Linked DNA regions of Canis lupus familiaris. The protein of the gene in region 1 binds, or shares a complex with, the protein of each later gene. Links are inferred from orthologs where the notes say so. Each region holds a gene or a part of one and is shown in the gene's direction. Other genes may lie near its edges. The genes, in order: ARPC4, ACTR2, ARPC1B and ARPC3.

What was found.
Region 2: the proteins of ARPC4 (region 1) and ACTR2 are in contact, whole or in part, in a cryo-EM structure (PDB 6YW6), measured with the Homo sapiens proteins. The link is inferred for Canis lupus familiaris from reciprocal best matches to the Homo sapiens genes ARPC4 and ACTR2. Residues at the interface, in NP_005709.1 of Homo sapiens: Val29, Val30, Glu31, Arg32, His33, Lys35, Pro36, Glu39, Val40, Ala98, Glu99, Asn100, Phe102, Ile103, Leu104, Arg105, Arg106, Lys107, Leu117, Thr119; in NP_005713.1 of Homo sapiens: Tyr222, Val223, Tyr225, Gln229, Glu230, Lys232, Leu233, Ala234, Leu235, Glu236, Thr237, Thr238, Val239, Lys253, Thr308, Met309, Tyr310, Pro311, Gly312, Pro314, Ser315, Asp346.
Region 3: the proteins of ARPC4 (region 1) and ARPC1B are in contact, whole or in part, in a cryo-EM structure (PDB 6YW6), measured with the Homo sapiens proteins. The link is inferred for Canis lupus familiaris from reciprocal best matches to the Homo sapiens genes ARPC4 and ARPC1B. Residues at the interface, in NP_005709.1 of Homo sapiens: Gln17, Cys21, Leu22, Glu23, Asn24, Phe25, Ser26, Ser27, Gln28, Val29, Glu31, Arg32, Glu45, Leu46, Leu48, Glu124, Gln125, Tyr127, Lys128, His129; in NP_005711.1 of Homo sapiens: Glu9, Pro10, Asn28, Gln54, Thr72, Arg74, Asn96, Arg97, Ala98, Arg100, Ser143, Thr144, Cys162, Trp204, His206, Leu245, Pro246, His263, Ala319, Gly320, Lys326, Asn327, Ser328, Met350.
Region 4: ARPC4 (region 1) and ARPC3 share a complex: the UniProt entries of both Homo sapiens proteins name them as parts of the arp2/3 complex. The link is inferred for Canis lupus familiaris from reciprocal best matches to the Homo sapiens genes ARPC4 and ARPC3.

What each region holds. Positions count from the first base shown.
Region 1 is NC_049241.1:8,516,296-8,520,769, reverse strand, and holds part of ARPC4 (actin-related protein 2/3 complex subunit 4), read left to right. Parts: intron 1-1,123; coding exon 1,124-1,242; intron 1,243-2,455; coding exon 2,456-2,567; intron 2,568-4,387; coding exon 4,388-4,474. UniProt on the Homo sapiens protein: Actin-binding component of the Arp2/3 complex, a multiprotein complex that mediates actin polymerization upon stimulation by nucleation-promoting factor (NPF).
Region 2 is NC_049231.1:65,984,712-65,989,938, forward strand, and holds the start of ACTR2 (actin-related protein 2), read left to right. Parts: upstream 1-2,097; 5' UTR 2,098-2,232; coding exon 2,233-2,280; intron 2,281-5,227. UniProt on the Homo sapiens protein: ATP-binding component of the Arp2/3 complex, a multiprotein complex that mediates actin polymerization upon stimulation by nucleation-promoting factor (NPF).
Region 3 is NC_049227.1:10,284,416-10,289,571, reverse strand, and holds the start of ARPC1B (actin-related protein 2/3 complex subunit 1B), read left to right. Parts: upstream 1-1,740; 5' UTR 1,741-1,887; intron 1,888-5,156. UniProt on the Homo sapiens protein: Component of the Arp2/3 complex, a multiprotein complex that mediates actin polymerization upon stimulation by nucleation-promoting factor (NPF).
Region 4 is NC_049247.1:8,501,763-8,506,236, reverse strand, and holds part of ARPC3 (actin-related protein 2/3 complex subunit 3), read left to right. Parts: intron 1-1,065; coding exon 1,066-1,165; intron 1,166-3,471; coding exon 3,472-3,590; intron 3,591-4,474. UniProt on the Homo sapiens protein: Component of the Arp2/3 complex, a multiprotein complex that mediates actin polymerization upon stimulation by nucleation-promoting factor (NPF).

The sequences.
Region 1 (4,474 bases):
TGTTGTAAATTGTAATAAATGCTATGAAGGAGGAAGTCAAGAAAGGCCTCTCTGAGGAAGGAAGGGGCCTTCCCTGAATACACCAAGGTCTAAGGGATGACTTAAGTCAAGAAAGGAAAGAAAGTCCTGTATAGATGAATCAGCATGTGTAAAGCCTTCAGATGAGAAAGAATGTAGATAATACAAGGAACTGAAGATAAGCCAGTGTAGGTAGAAGCTGGTCTGTCTACTGGGAATATCCTTAGTCTACTTTTTCTTATTGTAAAATCCTCCTAATCTTATTTTCATCTTTATTTCCAAACCAATTTCTTCTGGAAATGTAATTTGTAAGTTTGATTATGTCCCGTTTCATTCTCCTTTATATCATATGGTTTTTTTGTTCTCTACCCAGTTGAGCTATTTAGGGGTAGAGATGATCTTTAAAATCTTGACATTTAAATCAGTCCCTTGACATTTAAGTCAGCACACAGACTTATACATTATTGGCTCAAATACAGATTGAGGATAGTCATTCACCTGTATGCCTCTAGACCAGAATTTCTCAACCTCAGCACTATTTGGGGTAGAATAATTCCTTTATTTTTATTAATTTATTGTTCTAGGCTTTATTATAGAGAGAGAGCAGGGGAGGAGGGGGCAGAGAGAGGGGGAGAAACTCTCAAAGGGACTCTGCACTGAGCTCGCAGCCTGATGTGGGGCTAGATCCCACAACTCCGAGATCATGACTCAAGCTGAAATCAAGAGTCAGACATTTGAGCCACCCAGGCACCCCTGAATAATTCTTCTTTGTGCATTGTAGGATGTTTAGCAATATACTGGGCCTTGACTCGATGCCAGTAGCACTCCCGCCATATGCCAAATCCCGTCAATGAAAAATGTCCCTACATTGCTGCATGTCCGCTGGCAAGAAAAATGGTCCCCTGTTGAGAGCCACTCTTGATTTAGAATCAAAGGCACCTTGAAGGCCCAGTCTATTTGGTTCACTGTGGTGTCTGAGAGCCAGGTACTCTCAGTACTGCCTGGTTCCCATGTAGCTGGAGGAGAGTTTGCTAAAACAGATTCTGTTTCAGTTGGGGGTTTGCTAAAATAGATTGTGATTCTCCCTTGGGTTTTTTTCCTACAGACTGCCACTCTCCGCCCCTACCTGAGTGCCGTGCGGGCCACACTGCAGGCTGCCCTCTGCCTGGAGAATTTCTCCTCCCAGGTCGTGGAACGACACAACAAGCCAGAAGTGGAAGTCAGGTAGGGAAGAAAAAGGTCAAGGTGGGGGTGATGAGCTCAGTCCCAGAGATGGCAGTTATCTGGAGTTCGCCATGAATTTCCGTTCCAGAGTGGTCAAGCCAACTATAGTTCACATATTTTGTCTTGTTGCCAGATGAGCAGTGGTTCCCAATTTGCAGTTCAGAAAATAGGGTCAGTGGGTTGGCAGGACAAAACCCAGGGGAGAAGCTCCTCTGGAGCCAAGATTGCTTGACACAAGATCTGGCTTCTCAGAGTAGGACTGTTCGGTAAGAATCTCCTGTGTCATTATTGAACCCAATTTAAGGAGAGAGTGGAGAATTTTGTTTGATGCCTTCTCCATCCTCTTGGAATTTAAAGATCAGGGAATGTTTTTTCTCCGACCAACCCGGACTGTCTCATCCCTTACTCTAAATACTTCATATTTTGGGTTATTTTCTCTTACCTAGTTTATGTTTTGTTAAATTATTCTGTTCTCCTTTAAAGTTTAATCTGATACACATATAACTGAGATAAGCAATATTACCACACCATGTTCAAATGATTTGAATTTAAAAATACTGACAAGATGTTAGCGTTTGTTGTGCTGCTCTACTTAACATATGTGATTTCTACTGGGCATTTTAATTACCGTTACAAATACTTAGAGATTTCAGAGGCATCAAAATGGAAGCTGAGCTGAGAGGGGTCTTAATGCTAAATAAGTGAATCATTCTGGATTGATAATTAAAGGAGACCAAACTCTGTTTGATTTTAGCTTATCCTTATCCCTAATGCAGCCTCTTTTCTCATTCCCTAAATGGTATATGGGTTTGCCCGTAGTTATTAAAATAAGAGCTGTCATTTATAAAGCTCCTACCATGTGCCAGGCACTCTTAATAGACAATTGACCCTTTCTGATCTCTCTCAATCCTCACCAGTGAAATAGGAATCAGTCATTTTACAGATGAGGAAATTGAGATTCCAACAGGGTAACTTGTCCAAGGAAAGTAACAGAGGAGGCTGGATTTCAAAACCTTATCGCCCTGACTCCAGAGCCTTGCTCCTTCTGTTGGAGAACACACTCGCTGGCCCCCATCTTGGAGCACCCCTACTTGTGAGTCTCCTATTCCTTGGACTCTGTGGTCTCAGATAGAGATTCCAGGGCCTGCTGTGGGTCTCTCTGAGCATTCTGTTCCTCTGTAGTACAGATGCCTCTGTGACATTGTATTTTCAGGAGTAGCAAAGAGCTCCTGTTACAACCTGTGACCATCAGCAGGAATGAGAAGGAAAAAGTTTTGATTGAGGGCTCCATCAACTCTGTCCGGGTCAGCATTGCTGTGAAACAGGTGAGCTCATTACTGAGCCCTTGCCTCCTCAGGAGGTCAGGGGTCCCCATCTGAGAGATCGTCATGCCAGATTCAAGGTGCAAGGAAACCCAGGCTCCATTTCCTTGACTATACCCAGGGAATGGTTCTCCAGATTCAGCAGGTCAGTAGAGACAGCAACCATATCTTCTAGGCTTCCTTTAGATTAGAAGTGTGGAAAAGTTGCAGCTAAGGCCATGGCCAGTTTGGTGTCTGGTCAAAGAATCATTTATAAGGAAGGCAGAATAAGTCCAGTTTAGAAAAATAAATAATAGGGCAGCCCAGGTGGCTCAGCGGTTTAGCACTGCCTTAAGCCTAGGGCATGATTCTGGAGACCTGGGATCGAGTCCCATGTCGGGCTCCCTGCATGGAGCCTGCTTCTCCCTCTGCCTGTGTCTCTGACTCTCTATCTGTTTATCGAATAAATAAATAAAATCTTTAAGAAAAAAAAAAATACCAGTATCAATTTAATAGCCATAAACTTTGAAATAGAGATTTAGCATGAAAGTGTAATTTCATTTCTTTTCTTTTCTTTTCTTTTCTTTTCTTTTCTTTTCTTTTCTTTTCTTTTCTTTTCTTTTCTTTTCTTTCTTCCTTTTCTTTCTTTCTTTTCTTTCTTTCTTTCTTTCTTTCTTTCTTTCTTTCTTTCTTTCTTTCTTTCTTTCAATTTTGTTTATTTGAGAGAGCAGAGCAAGGGAGAGCACATGGGTGGAGAGGAAGGGTGGAGGGAGAGGGACAAGCCGACACCCCGCTGAGCAGGGACCCTGATGTGGAGCTCAGTCTCAGGACCCTGCAATTATGATCTGGGCCAAAGGCAGATGCTCAACCACTGAGCCACCCAGGCATCCCAGAAAATGGATTTTCTTAAATTGACTTTTCTTTTACTTAAATTTGTTTGAAAAAGAAACTTTATGCCATAATGGAAAAACCGTATCACTTGTTACCTAGGGAGAACTCTAAAAAAAGTAAATTCAGTGAAAGAAAATAAAGCTGTTACTTAGACTGGGTCCTGTTGCCTATAGAAAGCTCTATCCTTAGGGTCTGCTCTGTTAAAAAGGGAGATTAACAAGTGTTGGGAGGTGTTAAGGGCGTACCTGCCAGCACCCAGCTGCAAAATCCTTTCATTAGAACTAGTAAGAGTTCAGGCAGCCTGGGTGGCTCAGCGGTTTAGCACCGCCGTCAGCGCAGGGCGTGATCCTGGAGACCCAGGATTGAGTCCTGCGTCGGGCTCCCTGCATGAAACCTTCTGCCTGCCTCTCTCTCTCTCTCTCTCTCTCTCTCTCTCTCTTTCTCTTTCTCTCATGAATAAATAAATAAAATATGAAAAAAACAACAACAACTAGTAAGAGTTCAGCAGGGAAAAACTTTGGGGATTATTTAATATTCATTGTTATTGAAGCGAAAACCACCTAAGTTTATCTCTGAGAACTTCAGATGGTATATATATATCATAGACTTTGGGAAATACAGCACTAGTGAATGGGAAAGGGAGAGGCCGCTTTCAGTGTAGGTATGGCCTCTGCAAGGAGCAGATAAAAGACTTGGGTTTGCCAGAACTACCGCTCTGGAATGGGTGAAAATGAAATTGTGGTAATGCCCTATTGAATTGAAGAGGCTCTCAACTGCCGACATTCAGTTGGCAGTCACCTGCCCCATGATTCAGGTAGTCATTGCTCCTGATGCCAAACCTCACTACCTGCAGCGAGTCTGGGGGAAATTGAAGTCAGAAGACCAGACTACAGGTTTCTGTTGGCCTGTATTGTCAGATTTAGGGAGCCCTGTTTATTTTTCTCTCTCACTAGGCTGATGAGATCGAGAAGATTTTATGCCACAAGTTCATGCGCTTCATGATGATGCGAGCAGAGAACTTCTTTATCCTTCGAAGGAAA
Region 2 (5,227 bases), on another chromosome or scaffold:
AAAAAAAAATAAAGAAGATGCAGAAAAGGCATATTTCCCTGGGGCCTCCTATCCATCCTAATTTCTCAAACTTTCAACTACTATGGCAGCTTTAATCTATTTTATATGTTGAAGTTCCACATAAGATTATATTTGAGGGGCACACCTGAGTGGCTCAGTCAGTTAAGTGGTAGACTGGATTTTGACTCAGGTCATGATCTCAGGGTCCTGGGATTGACCCCTGCATCAGGCTCCACGCTCAGCAGGGATTCTGCTTACGGATTCTCTCTTTCCCTCTCCTGCTGTCCCTGCCATGCTCAAGCACTCTCTCTCTAAAACAAATAATCTTTAAAAAAAAAAAAAAAAAAGAAGAAGACTAAATTCAAATAAACTGGTCTAATAAAAGAAAGAGGTGAAAACTGAGAGGCAGCCTATTATAATACTGGACTGAAGGATTCATGATCCAAGTTTTATTCTAGTCGCTGTACATACACAGCCATGTGAAAGGCACAATTGTAGTTGTCACCTGTCAAAAATGCTGGCATTTTTTTCTAGGTAAATTTTGACATCACTTATCCAATACTTGTTGAGTGTAATGAGCGCGATATTATGCATATATCCATGATAAACTAATTAGTGAAGAAAAAGAGCAAAGAGCATCTTGAGGGTTATCAGCAAAGTCTTCATCTTTGTGCAGATGTGCAGACATCTCCTGATTGGATTTAAAAAAAAAAAGGTAGAGGCATTATAGGTAGAAAGAACGATACATTTAGAAGTAATTAATAATAAACAGCTACCACTGAATGGATACTTTATGCATGGAATTTTATCCTCACAACCAGCCATGGAAGCAGAGGTTAGCATTCCAATGCATAGGCGAGGGTATGGCCAAATCACAGAATGCTTGAGTGGCAGGGCCGTATTTGAAACTGGGGTCGTCGGATTTCGAAGCCAAGACTCTGGGTGCAAACAGGTGCATACACTGGAGAGGTGTGGAGTAGCGAGGGTGCTGCTGGATTTCGAAGCCGAGACTCTGGGTGCAAATAGGTACATACACTGGAGAGGTGTGGACTAGCGAGGTGCTGCTGGATTTCGAAGCTGAGACTCTGAGTGCAAATAGGTACATACACTGGAGAGGCGTGAGGTGTGAAGCAGCGAGGTGCTGCTGGATTTCGAAGCCGAGACTGGGTGCAAGCAGGTGCATACACTGGAGAGGTGTGGAGTAGCGAGGTGCTGCTGGATTTCGAAGCTGAGACTCTGGGTGCAAACAGGTGCATACACTGGAGAGGCATGAAGCAGCGAGGTGCTGCTGGATTTCGAAGCCAAGACTCTGGGTGCAAATAGGTACATACACTGGAGAGGCGTGAGGTGTGAAGCAGCGAGGTGCTGCTGGATTTCGAAGCCGAGACTGGGTGCAAGCAGGTGCATACACTGGAAAGGTGTGGAGTAGCGAGGTGCTGCTGGATTTCGAAGCCGAGACTGGGTGCAAACAGGTGCATACACTGGAGAGTGTGGAGCAGCGGGGTGCTGCTGGAAAGGAAGTGGTGAGCCACGGGCCTAAAAAGGTAGGTGCCCACTACCGCCCTCTTGACTAAAGGCAAATTGGGCAAAAAGGGTGGGGGGTGGGCTGGAATTGGGAGATATCAGGACAAACGCATGACTTCATGTGTGTGTATCCAGCCCAGTTCTGTTCCCCGAAGAGGCCTGGGGAGCAAGGACAACCGCAAGCCGTGCTCAAAGGTGGGGTCAGCAGGGACGTGCAGGTTTGCTTCCCCTGCGTCCGCCCGCTCCGCTGTCTCCTCTCGCCACGGATGCACGGTCCCTCACCTTCCTGCCTGCCTCTTTTGCAGACAGCTAAGCAGCCCCCTCAACTCCTGCGACGCCCGGGACCGCAGCACCCGCCAGCCCCGCCGCCATGAAAGCCCGGCGAAGCTCCCGGAACCGGAAGCAGCGAGGAAGAGCCCGGGTGGGCGGTGACCGCGACGGCGGAAACCCGATCTGTGGGCGGGGCCTCGTCGCGTCTCCGCCTCTTATTGGACCTCACGCCTGCCAGTCTCTGTCTCCGCCCTCTTATCCCCGCCCCTTCCGTGCGTTCCGTGTCTTAAACGGCGGGTGGGGCCGGGCGGAGACTTCCGGTTGGTGGAAGAAAGTTGGGGCGGAGGAGGGGCCGCGAGGAAGGAGGAGGAAGAGGAAAGGGCCGGGCGGCGGGGGCTGTAGGTCGTTCGGCGGCGGCGGCTCTCTTCCGGGAGGACGATGGACAGCCAGGGCAGGAAGGTGGTGGTGTGCGACAACGGCACCGGGGTAAGCGCCCGGCCGGGGACGTGCTGGTGGCGCGGCGGCCCTCGGCGCTCGCGGCGGCGCCCATGGGCCCTCGGGCCGCCGGGACCCGGGGGCGCGGGGCAGCGCTTCCGGCCTCCGCGGGCGTGGGGGGCGAGCTGACCCGGGGCAGCTCGGGGTCGGGGCGGCGGGCCTGGCGGACGCTGGAGGCGGAGGGGTGGGGTGGGGGATGGGGAGGCCCGGGGGGACCCAGCCTGCAGCCCGGCCGCCGCCGCCGCGCCCAACGGGGATGCTCTGGCTAGAGGGCTGCAGGGGTCAAAGGCCGGGCAGGTAGGTCTGCTCCATGAGGATTCTGTTCCCCAGGGTCGCTGCTTCTGTAGAAGGGAGAAGCACCAGGAGGGCCTTCCTCTTCCTGTAGAATTGAAGATACCGAACGGCAGGCAGGAAACGAGCTCGAGGAGAGAAAAAAAAAAAAAAAAGGGGGAAGTGCTGTCATGCAACGAGCCGCAGCCCTTTCGCAGTTTTCGGGCAGCCGCAGTTTTTGGAGCTGTTCCCCCCTTACCCGGGGGTGAGGGAGCAGCGTGGAGCCAAGCATCATTTACTTTTTGTTATGCAGGCTGGGAATTTGGCCTCGGTGCAGCCTCCGCAGAGGCACGTCTGTGTCCATTGATCTTGGGAGATCTGGGACACCCCCCGCCCCCCCCCCCCACTAAGGCTCAAGTGTTCATTGTGGACCTTGCAGGGGAAGTTCACCAATTCTGGTAACTCCCTCCCCCATCCTACTTCCTTAGATGCAGAAACACAGATCATGTTAAGTTTTTAAGATTCCAAAAGACAGACGATTGTTAAAAAAAAAAAAAAATTGGCTAAACACTGATTTAGAAATCATGTGAAAGTTGTTGCGTTCAAACCCCTCCCCCCATTAAAAAAAAACGCAACCTATTTGGAGTGGCACATTAGGAGACAGAAGTGTTACTGGGATGGATGAGTTCTGTAGTGATCATTTGCCCCTACATTGCAATGATTTCTTTTCTTTTTTTTTTTTTTTTTTTTTAAGATTTTTATTTATTTACTCATGAGAGACACACAGAGAGAGAGGGGCAGAGGGAGAAGCAGGCTCCATGCAGGGAGCCTGACGTGGGACTCCATCCAGGGTCTCCAGGATCACGCCCTGGGCCGAAGGCAGGCGCTAAACAGCTGAGCCACCTGGGCTGTCCCATTGCAATGATTTCCAATCATTTTGGACTTAGGGTATTTTATGACTTTTCTCCTCTTTTTTCCATAAATGTAGCATACGAATGAAAATAGGCTTCCAGGGATCCCTGGGTGGCGCAGCAGTTTGGCGCCTGCCTTTGGCCCAGGGCGCGATCCTGGAGTCCTGGGATCGAGTCCCACGTCGGGCTCCCGGTGTATGGAGCCTGCTTCTCCCTCTGCCTATGTCTCTGCCCCTCTCTCTCTCTCTCTCTCTCTCTCTCTCTCTCTGTGTGACTATCATAAATAAAATAAAAAAAATAAAATAAAATAAAAAAGAAAATAGGCTTCCAGTTATGAAGTGGATAAATCACAGGGATGACAAGTACGAATCTGGTCAGTGGCATCTTTACAGCACTTATATGATGACCGATGACAGCTACATCTGTGGTGTGGGAGGCACGACATACAGTTGTCAAATCACTACGTTGTACACCTGAAAAAAAATTTTTTTACTTGAATTTTAAAATATTCTGGAAATTGGATTGTTGGGATGAAAAATAAAAGAGCTGATATTTACTGGCATAATACTACCCTTACTGTTTTACAGACTTTCAGAAGCGATGATTATATTAGTTTTGTATGAACTAAGTTAAAAACAAGAGAGTAAGAAGAGATATAATCATGGGACATCCGTTCAAAATCGTATACTTAAAAAAAAAAAAAAGAAAGAGAAAAGATCCACCACTATGGAAACATGTAAATATGTTTCTGTGTCCACAAACTTCTAAAGTTTTAGAGGGAGAAATAAGTTCGTAGAGGTTACCCTGTGAGTTTGGGGATAAGAGGGAGGGAAGATGGGAAAGGCTTTGTGACTCTTCTGCATTATTCGAAAGTGGTCTGTTTTGTTTTTTAAGAAAACATGAGACTCTTCAAATTAACTACAAACATTACTTTTATAGCTGAAAGTCAGTTAAAGGTGCTTTAAAAAAAAAAAAGTAGCTTGATTCCCCCTGTAGTCTCAAATTGACCTCTAAATAAATCTAAGACTTTAAAAATTGAATTTAAAATATTTTTGTAGATATATTTTATATTCCCTTTAGAAATCAGAGCCTTTATATTTCAGTGGATTCCTTCTCTTCGAATGATAATGAGCTCTGTATTTGTAGTGTATGAGCTTTTTGATATTCAATTAGAATAGGAGTGTTAGCCATGAGTTCTTTTTTTATTACTATTTCATTAGTTTACCTGAGGTAGAAAGCTGATTGTATGTTACTGATTAGGCTTATGGCTAATCCATAATTTAAGATTCTTGTACTTTAAGAGATCAGTAAAGGAAAAATGTAGTTAATTTGAACAAAATTTATGTATTTGGTGTTACATTTCTAATTACTTTAAAAATTTATCTGAATTTTCTATAGACCTGACTGGCTTCAAATGAAGAAATAGTTCTGATGTAATATGTAGCTAGGAATGCTGTGATATTTCTGAAAATTTAGAGTATTCTAAATACAGAAATTCTCTATTTCTTACTGCTTATATTTCATAGTCCTCTTGATTTAGTTTAGGTACCTAAAGCTATACTGAGTTATCTACAAGTAAATACTAAGGTGTTCAAATTTAATTTCTAAAAACTTATGTAAATAGTTGTTAGTCTTTTTTTTTTTTAAGATTTTTTTAAAATTTTTATTTATTTATGATAGTCACGGAGAGAGAGAGAGGCAGAGACACAGGCAGAGGGAGAAGCAGGCTCCATGCACCGGGAGCCCAACGTGGGATT
Region 3 (5,156 bases), on another chromosome or scaffold:
CCAGGTGCAGGAGGGCTTCCAGAGCAAAGCCAACCCGGTTCCCGCTCACAGAGTTTATAATCTGTTTTCACCATGAGGAGGTAACCCTCAGGTGTTTAGATGTGTCCGGATGCTTTTAGAGATGGGTAACACAGTCTCAACCCAAACCAAGCTTAAACAGTAGAGTCCTCGGCTCACCGGTCCCAGTGGTCTGAAACCTCTGGAAGCTGGTTGGGCTCAAGCTGACCAGTCAGAGTTTGACCATGGTGCTGGTCATTTCTGGGATTTCCTCCACCTGAGCTCTATGTCATCTAGCTTCCCTTGTGCTGTTCCACTTTCGTGTTCAGATTCTTGCAGCTCACCCAGAAGAGTCTTCCCTCCCTTCCACCACCACCACCACCATCATCATCATCATCATCATCATCATCATCATCATCATCATGTCCTGGGCTTGCAGCAGCAGCAGCATCATCATCATCATCATCATCATCATCATCATCATGTCCTGGGCTTGCTTTACCCTGGCCATCTGAGCTCATGAGCTCAGGACAGGGGACCCCAGGAGCCGATGGGGTTAGAGCCATCAGGCCCATGCCAGAGGTGGGGGTCAGCTCCCCCTGGGGTCATTCCCTGGGCATCTAGAAGCCAGGGAGGCAACAGATGTGCCCTCTGTGTTAAGTTGCACTTGTCCCCCACAAGAAGGGGGTGCTGGTACAGATCATCTGAAACTTTTTCTGTTCATCCCGCAGCCATGCTGGGACTGGCCACAGCTAGATGGGAGGGCGGCGCCAGCCCCTCAGAGTCTCAGCCAGGAAGGCTGCTGGCGGTCCTTTGGTCCTTTCAAACCATAGCCGAAGCTTGCTGAGCGCTCACTGCGCGCTCACTACTGGGAGAGCTCCCACGTTTGGAGACATGGAATCCTCCCAGCCACCTTGCAGGGGCAGGATTCAGTGTTGATGGCAGCCGGGACTGGTGGGCGCAGGGTCTTGCTGGGAGCCCCGCAGTCACCTCCAGGGCAGAGGGTTGTGGACAGAGTGAGCTAAGAGACAAACCCTGCAGGGGGGGGACGGGGGGGGGGGGGGAAGTGTTCCAGGCAGAAAGAAAACCATGTGTCAAAGCCCCGGGACCTGTCAGGGTGGGCGTCTGGCCCCAGATCCCGATCCCCTGCCTCCGGAAAGACCACAGAGCCCCAGTGCGGCTTGCTGCTGCCTGCGCCTGGGAGGGAGGACTCCTGGGGAGGAGCCCCCCGCTAAGAGAGGGCGCAGGAGGGGGTTTTCGCCGGGGGCTCCCCCATCCGCGCAGCCACCTGGTCACATCTCCACCGATGAGGCAGAGGCTAAGGATAGAAAGACCCCTGGGGACCACTCGGCCCAAGACCCAAATGCATGTGGCCACAAGGCCACCAGGCAGCTGGGAGGCAGGAGTGGACTGCGGCGGATCCAGGGGCAGGAAGTCGTCAGTGCGAGCCCGCGGGCACCCGGCCCCGGGAGGGTGCTGCGGCGGGCACGGGGGGCGGGGCAGGGGCGGGGGAGGGGCGGGGGCCGCCCGCCCGCCCGCGGGCACCCGGTCCCGGGCCTGCACTTGCCGCGCCCCGTGGCCATCAGCTCCGGGAGGAGGGAAGGCGCGCACCCCGCCCAGCTGCCGCTCCGAGCCTCAGTTTCCCCGCGCGTAAAGTTGCAAGGGGCGGTTGCGGAGGAGCGCCGGGCGCCCGGGCTCCGCGCAGCCCCCACCCCGGATGGGTGGGCGGGGCCTGGGCTCTGGCCGCCACCCTGGTTGCCGCCCCGGTCCCCGCGGGGCTGAGGCTGAGGCCCCGCCCCCGCCCACGAGGAAGTGGCTGCGGCGCCGCGCGGGGCCCAGAGCCGGTTCGGCGCGTCGACTGCCCAGAGTCCGCGGCCGGGGCGCCCCGAGGTGAGGGGGCTGGGGCCGCCCGCAGGGGGTAGCGGGGAGTTGCCTGCAGGTGGGGAGGGTGCGGGGCGCCCGCGGGGGCGCAGGAGCGCGGGGAGGGGGTGCCCGGGGGAAGGGGCCCGGGGCGGGGGCTCGCCAGGTGCGTGGGGTCGCCCGGAGGCGAGAGCAGGGCGGGGACGGCGGCCCGGGCCCGGGGTGGGCGGCCGCCTCGGGGCGAGGGGAGCGCGGGGCGCCCTGGCCCGGCCTGCGCTCCCCGGCTCTACCCCGCGGCCGCTGCCCCCCGCTATTCCGGGCGGCGAGGGCCCCACGCCCAGTCACTTCCCCTCCATCCTCCAGCCTTCCGGGTTGCTCCGGCCGGGAAATGAGCTGGCGCCCCCGCCCACCTGGCCCCTCCCCCGCGCCCCCGCCCCCCGCCCCGGCCCTCCGGGCGCCCCGGGGCCGGGGCCGCCGACCCTACCCGGAGGGGGTCCCCCTTCGCCGGAGGCGGGGACCCAGCGGGGCCGCCCGGGGCGGTGACAGCAAGGCCGGCGGGACTAGCGGGAGCCCGGAGCCCGGAGCCCGGAGCCCGCCGCCCGCCTAACGCGGCGCTGAGCTGGAGGCCGTCGGCGGGCCCCCGCGCCTGGCAGGTGGTGCTGCCCCGGCCACGGGCACCGGTTCCCGGGAGGCCCCCGGGCCGGGGTTGAGCGCGCCAGCTTCCTTAGCAGGCCACCTGACGGCTCTGGACCTCAACCTTCCTCCTCTGTAAAATGGGGACCTTTCAAGTGGCGAGGCTTACCTGGGATTGTGTGTGGAAGGCACTGGGTTGTGCCAGGCACACGCTGGGTACAGGTCGGTGCTCTTCCTGCTGCCACTACCATTGTAGGGCCTGCCCGCACTTACCAAAGTGTCTGGATGATGCTAACCTCTGAGATTTGGGGGTCAGAATCCCAAACTGCCATGTAGGAGCTGTGTGGCTTTGAGAGATTCTTGTTTGTTTTTATTTATTTATTTATTTATTTATTTATTTATTTATTTATTTATTTATTTATTTTTAAAGATTTTATATCTCTGTTCATGAGAGACACACACAGAAAGAGGCAGAGAGACACAGGCAGAGGGAGAAGCAGGCTCCCCGAGGGGAGCCTGATGTGGGACTCAATCCCAGGACCCCAGGATCATGACTTGAGCCAAAGGCAGATGCTCAACTACTGAGCCACCTAGGCATCCCCGATTCTTGACTCTGAGTCTTTTTCCTCATGTACAAAATGAAGGTTTAAAAAAACACGAAAGAAACCCAAAACAACCCTTTAGGCTTGCTCTTGGGGGTAAAAGAATGTATGTCAAAGCTGTGGGTAAAAATGCTGTGCATTTAAAGATGCCGGTAAAGGTAGTTTATGTGTGTCTATGTACATAATCCACACAGGTCTTTTCAAATAGTTAAATGATATCCCAACATGTTAGTGTCACAATTTACTCTTGCCATATTTGTAGTCATCTGGATTTTTCCACCCTTCCACCATTCTAGAGGGGGTTATTATGAACATGTTTGCTTAAAAAAAAAAAAAAAAGTCGGTGGTTATTTTCTTAGCACCAAAATGAATCTATGCCACCAAAGAGTGTTAATTTTTAAGTTCCTGTTTGTGTTATTCTGCTTGTTCCTACCCAGTTGTTGAATTGTTTTTACATCGCTCTTCTGAAAGGCTGAACAAATGAGAATTTCTCCACAACCCTGCCAACATTGAGTTTTATGTGTTTTTGGATTTTGTTTTGTTTGGATTGCTTTATTAGTACGCTTTATGGTGCTTTCTATGATTGTTTTCATTTATGTGTCTTGACTTGATTTTTGCCTGGTTAAGACTTCAGGAGCAGAGTTGGGGAGGAGGTTTTGGCTGGTCTGGGGTGGCAAGGCCTATTCCATACACAACAGGAAGTTGAGTAACTGCTTAGCACGTGTACAAAATGGCTTACTGGCAACTCCCTGGAGCGTCTGAGCTGGGTGGGGACTTCCCTGAGTGCCTGTAGGGCCAAGATCCTGCTCCAGATGGCTCCTGCCTAGATTAGCCTCAGATACAGCCAAACCTCTGGCTTCAGAGAACCTTGGCCAGGTTTTTCTAGAAGCAATAAGGAACCTACAGCTAGTGCCTTGTTCAGCCCCCACCTTTTCTGGTAGAGATGTGAAGGAAGTATTGGCTGAGGGCATCCAGTTGGTATGGAGAGTTAGAATTTGACCCTAACGCTGTAAGGAAGGAGCCCTGAGGCCCTCGGTCAGGCAGCCCAAGGCTCTACCTGGCTTGCTTTGCTCTGAGGGGAGCTGAGTTCTTCCCAAGTGCTCAGCAGAGGATCTTCTAGATTTCAGATTTCCAAGTTTTGCTAATCATTGACCCTAATCAGGAAGAACACAAAACAAAACTGAACACATACTCCCCAGTAAATATTTACAAATTGCATACATATGTCACTGAAATAATAAAGCATATTCATTCCTTGGAGCCTATCCCCTAAAGAAAAGGATGGGATTTATTCAATTTGCCTTCAAGAAATACGTATTGAGCACCTGTTATGTGCCAGGAACTCTAATTGGTGCTGAGGATACGTGGGTGGACATAGCACCTACCATGCCCCTAGATAGTTCGCGTCCATACCCCGGTGCATGGTTTCTGGCATGGCACCCTCTGGATGGAAACCACACTCTGGAGACCCAAAACCCCTCCCAGACCTCATGCCGCTCTTCCCTGTGCTCTCCCACGCCCAGCCCTGGGTAATCTCCAGCCCATTTGTACTGAGCCTTCACTGTGTGCTGAAAGGACGCAGGGAACGTGCCGCTGGGAACACAGAGATCCTGGCGTTAGGCTGGCAGAGGGGAGCCAGCCAGGGGAGACTCCACATTTGACCCACACTCCCCCAGCCTCTGTTTCTGGGATAATGAGGCACAGATCACTGCACGTGGACTCCAAGTCCCAACACGGTTCCTCTCTCTGTCCTCAACAGTCAAATGGGCCCATGGTGCTGGCTCACGGGGCTGCCTTGACAAGTGGGTGGGTGTCCTGGAGGCCATGGCCTCAGCCTCCCTTTGTCTCCCCGTCCCCGGAGCCATTGCTGAGGCTTTGTGTTGTTAACAGGCTTGGGCAAAAGCAACTCTAGTTGCATAGTCTTTAGGGTGACTGGCTGGCAGTCGGTGCCTTCCCATCCCCCCATGGAGGTTTTCCTGGGAAGGATTAAGTCAAAGTTCCCGCAGCAGGGGGTGGCCCAGTGTGAAGGCTGTGTTGTTGCTTTGCCTGACCACGGGAACAATC
Region 4 (4,474 bases), on another chromosome or scaffold:
TAAGATCATAGACAGTAGTAAAATAATTTTTAAAAATATGAAGTAATGAATTTTCAGCATTTATCACATTTGTTTTCAATATAATGCACTTAAATGCAAATTTACATAATTTAATTTTTAATAATGGCTTTTTTTTTAAGGATTTTCTTTATTCATGAAAGACACAGAGAGAGAGAGAGAGGCAGAGACACAGGCAGAGGGAGAAGCAGGCTCCATGCAGGGAGCCCGATGTGGGACTCAATCCCTGGACCAGGGATCACACTCTGAGCCGAAGGCAGACACTCAACTGCTGAGCCATCCAGGCATCCCATTAACGGCTGTTTTTAATAACCAGCTTGCCTCAATATTTTTCAAAATTCCTCAAAACATAGATGCTTCTGGCTGGCTCAGTGGGAAGAGCATGCAACTCTTTTTTTAAAAAAAATATAAAGATTTATTCATTTATTCATGAGAGAGAGGCAGAGACACAGGCAGAGGGAGAAGCAGGCTCCCCACAGGGAGCCAGATGCAGGACTTGATCCCGGAACTCCGGGATCCCTACCCAAGCCAAAGGCAGATGCCCAACCTCTGAGCCACCCAAGCATCCCAAGAGCATGCAACTTTTGATCTCCGGGTTGTGAGTTCGAGCCCCATGTGGGGTGCAGATTATTTAAATAATTTTTTTAATTGCTCAAAATTGGGAATCCCTGGGTGGCCCAGCGGTTTAGCACCTGCCTTCAGCCCAGGGCGTGATCCTGGAGTCCCAGGATCGAGTCCCACATCAGGCTCCCTGCATGGAGCCTGCTTCTCCCTCTGCCTGTGTCTCTGCCTCTCTCTCTTTCTCTCTCTGTCTTTCATGAATAAATAATTAAAATATTTTAAAAATAATTGCTCAAAATTTAACATTCAGTTTTCTTGAGCCAGTAAAAGCCAGCTCTAGCGTATTGCTGCTACCAACCTTTGATCCTCCTCCTGGTTAGTCTTGGGTGGGTTCTTCTTTTTCCCTTTAGAGAAATGTTTCTTGTGTGCCCTGCTGATGTTTGCTCTCTTTCTGTCTCCATATTCTTACCTGGCTTGCCACTACAGGCTTACCACTCTTCTCTCATGGACCCTGACACCAAACTCATTGGAAACATGGCATTGTTGCCTATCAGAAGTCAATTCAAAGGACCCGCCCCTAGAGAGAGTAAGTCAAAACTTCTTTCTATTGTTCTCAGATTTTAGTAGAAAACATCTAGCAACTCTCTGACATTAACAAATCAGGCAAATTCTTAGCTCAGTCCTCTGTCTCAGACTGCTCTTGGATATTCTATTTGTTTGGTGGATATTGCATTCTAGACCTTTCAAGATCAGGAGTATACATTGCATCTAGTAAGAAAGTGTATTAATGCTGCTGAGTTCTTCTGAATATTTTGTTGAGAGGGATGAGGAAATATTACTTATTTTTGACATTATTCTGTCATCACTGTCAGTACTTACAAAGTGATCTAATGCTACTACTTCTGTAGGATACCATGTCCCCATCCTTTTTCTGTTGTAAGGCTGAGGAAAACAAAGAAGACATTTTAACTCCTTCCCCTGTCTGTATCTACTTCCTTTATTCATTCTTCAGGATCTTCATTTTCAGCAGTACCTGGATCTTAAGTTGTAAGTGTCTTATGTAAAATTACACATTGTTTCTCTTGCTTTTCTGAATTTTATATCTTTTCTTTTTTTAGTACTTCCCCTTTTTTTTGAAACATTTCCTTACTGTTCAGAAAGCCTCCTTCTTTTTAGACTCTTTGGATACATTCTGAGATGTTCTACCAACAGTGTAATTTATATTATAGCAGACATGGCTTCCTTGCATCCAGAAAGCATCTGCACTGAGTTCCATTCAAGGTTTTTAAGGTTTTCATTGCAATTTGCACTGACCCCATCTTCATTCCTCTGCCAGACTATTTGACGTGACCTCTCCTTAAGTTTATTTTCAACACCAGTTGAAAGCTCAGTAAACTAAATAAACTTGGTGAGTTACCACAGTTTTTACTTGATTCTGAGATGAAGAAAAAGGAACAGATGGGAAAAAAAAAAAAGATTTAAAAGAAGAAAAATAATGTAAAAGAATTACAGTGCAAAGAAAGAATAAAAAAATCCATGTTGGCCCAGATTCCTTGAGAAGAACTCTTTTCAGATCTTTACAAAATACCATGTAGCATATCAGAAGATGCAGTTGACTAGAGATGGAGTGTATCTAATTACCACCTTCGCAACAACTCGTGGGCCCTTGAGGGAGAGCAGGACCCCAAGAAACCAGATGGACATGGTTTCTGTAGACAGAGAATGACCTGTTATTCTTTCCCAGTGGACAGGATTGGAACTGAACTGGAATTATGAAAGAGTACAGGCCTATGCTGTGAGCAAAATAACTGTTAGCATTAATCAAATTCATTTCTTTACATTCATCAGACACCTTTTGAGCACCTTTCTGTGCCAAACACCCTTCTAGGTTCTGAATCTTGTAGCCCACCCCCGCCCCGTTCCTCACCCCCCACCCCCACATTGTTACATTTAGAAGAACTAGCTGGTTTTATAAACAATATGGAATCTTCTGAGGAAGTTTCCTTTTTGCACATAAGAAAATTGCAAGAACAGGAGTCTAGAGTTAGAATTCTGTTGCGTTCTTTAGCAGGGGAATGAGTAGGGTTAAAGACAGCTGAATCACAGAGTACTAAACCTCCAGGATTACTTTGCATTTCTTCTGTGTGAGAGGGAGAGCAGTCATTGGACAATATAAATAACTCTGGAAAAAAAAAAAAAAAAAAGACCACCAAAAAACTGTCTCTGCATTGCTGCAACCGGCTGCTGGATATCAAGACCCTGGGATTTTGACCTTTTTAAAATAAGAAAAGGAAAACAAAAACCTGCCAAAGAAATTGTATAATGAGATCTGTCTTTGTCACAACAGCATTTCTGGCTTTTCTCAGTCTCTCGCCACCTAGAACAGCATGTACAAGTATATTTTAAGCACGGTTTTCATAAAAAGAAAGATGTATGTGTAAGCCCAGTGTGTTCCTAAATGATAGTTGAGGGTTTTTTTCCGCCTGAAACCATAGAATATAAATTCAAATAGAATTAGATTGAATACTTTTTATTTAAACAGCATCTTATCAAGGTTTAGTCTATGCCTAAGTTCATTTTTATAAATGAACATTGAGACATCTCTCAATGTCTGGAATGATGTTCACCAAATGATAATAGTAGTTATTTCTAGGTAGTGAGATTTAGAGTGACAATAAAATGTTTTTTGGTACTGGTTAATTTGTTCCTAATGAGAATATTTTTTTATAAAAACAATAAAGCTATCAGAATAAACCATATCCTTATTTTTCTAGATATTGTTTCTAAAGACATTATATTTCAGTGGCCTCATTTTATGGAACTCAACTCCTTTGACCATGGAGCTGGGAAGTTTACTCTCTAGCTTTTTTAAGTGTTATTGTTATATTTTAGCTCATGTTCTCTGCCTCCACCCCCCTCTTCGGTCCTGTTTAGCAAAAGATACAGATATTGTGGATGAAGCCATTTATTACTTCAAGGCCAATGTCTTCTTCAAAAACTATGAGATTAAGGTAAAGTACAGAGCTTTTAATATTTAATTTAGTTTTCTGGTGTGGATAATAAGCTACCTGGTAGTCAGGGTTGTTCTGAAGAATAAATAAAATTGAATGAGATTGTATGACTTTAAAAAATGAGAATAGTGGGGCACCTGAGTGGCTCAGTTGGTAAAGTATCTGCCATCGACTCAGGTCATGATCCTGGGTTCCTGGGATCAAGTCCCACATCTGGTTCTGGGCTGAGCAGAGAGTCTTTTTCCCTCTCGTTCTGCCCCTTTCCCTCCCCTCCCTACTTATACTCTGTGCTCTCTCTCTCTCAAATAAAAAATAAATAAAATTTAAAAAAATTTAAAACCAGAATAGTGCCTAATATTAGACTCAGTATTAGTTTCTCGTTTTTCCTCCAAAGTCTATACCATGGGTCAACAAACTACAGCCTGAGAGCCAAATCTGGCCCACTGCCTCTTTTTGTTGTTATTGTTGTTAAGAGAGTATGATCAGGGGGAGCTGCATGTAGAGCATTTATGAATAAAGTTTTATTGGAACACAGCCACATTCATTTTTTATCATAGTGTCTATGACTGGTTTCATGCCACAGCAGCTGGATTGAATAGTTGTGACAAAGACTGGCCCACAAAACCTAAAATATTTAATATTTGATCTCTTATAGAGGAAGTTTGCCAACCCAAGATCTAGACATTTTTATTTGTTCAACATTAATAAAGCACCTACCATGTGCCAGTTCAAAATGAAAAAACCCTACATGCTATGTTATTTCTATATATACTTCTGTGTTCTGGCCATGAGATGAAGAAATAAAGAAACTTCAATGATCCTGATCGTTCCTCAACTATCCTTTCTTCCTTTCTGCTCTTAGTTCGTGTGAGGAATGAGGTCAA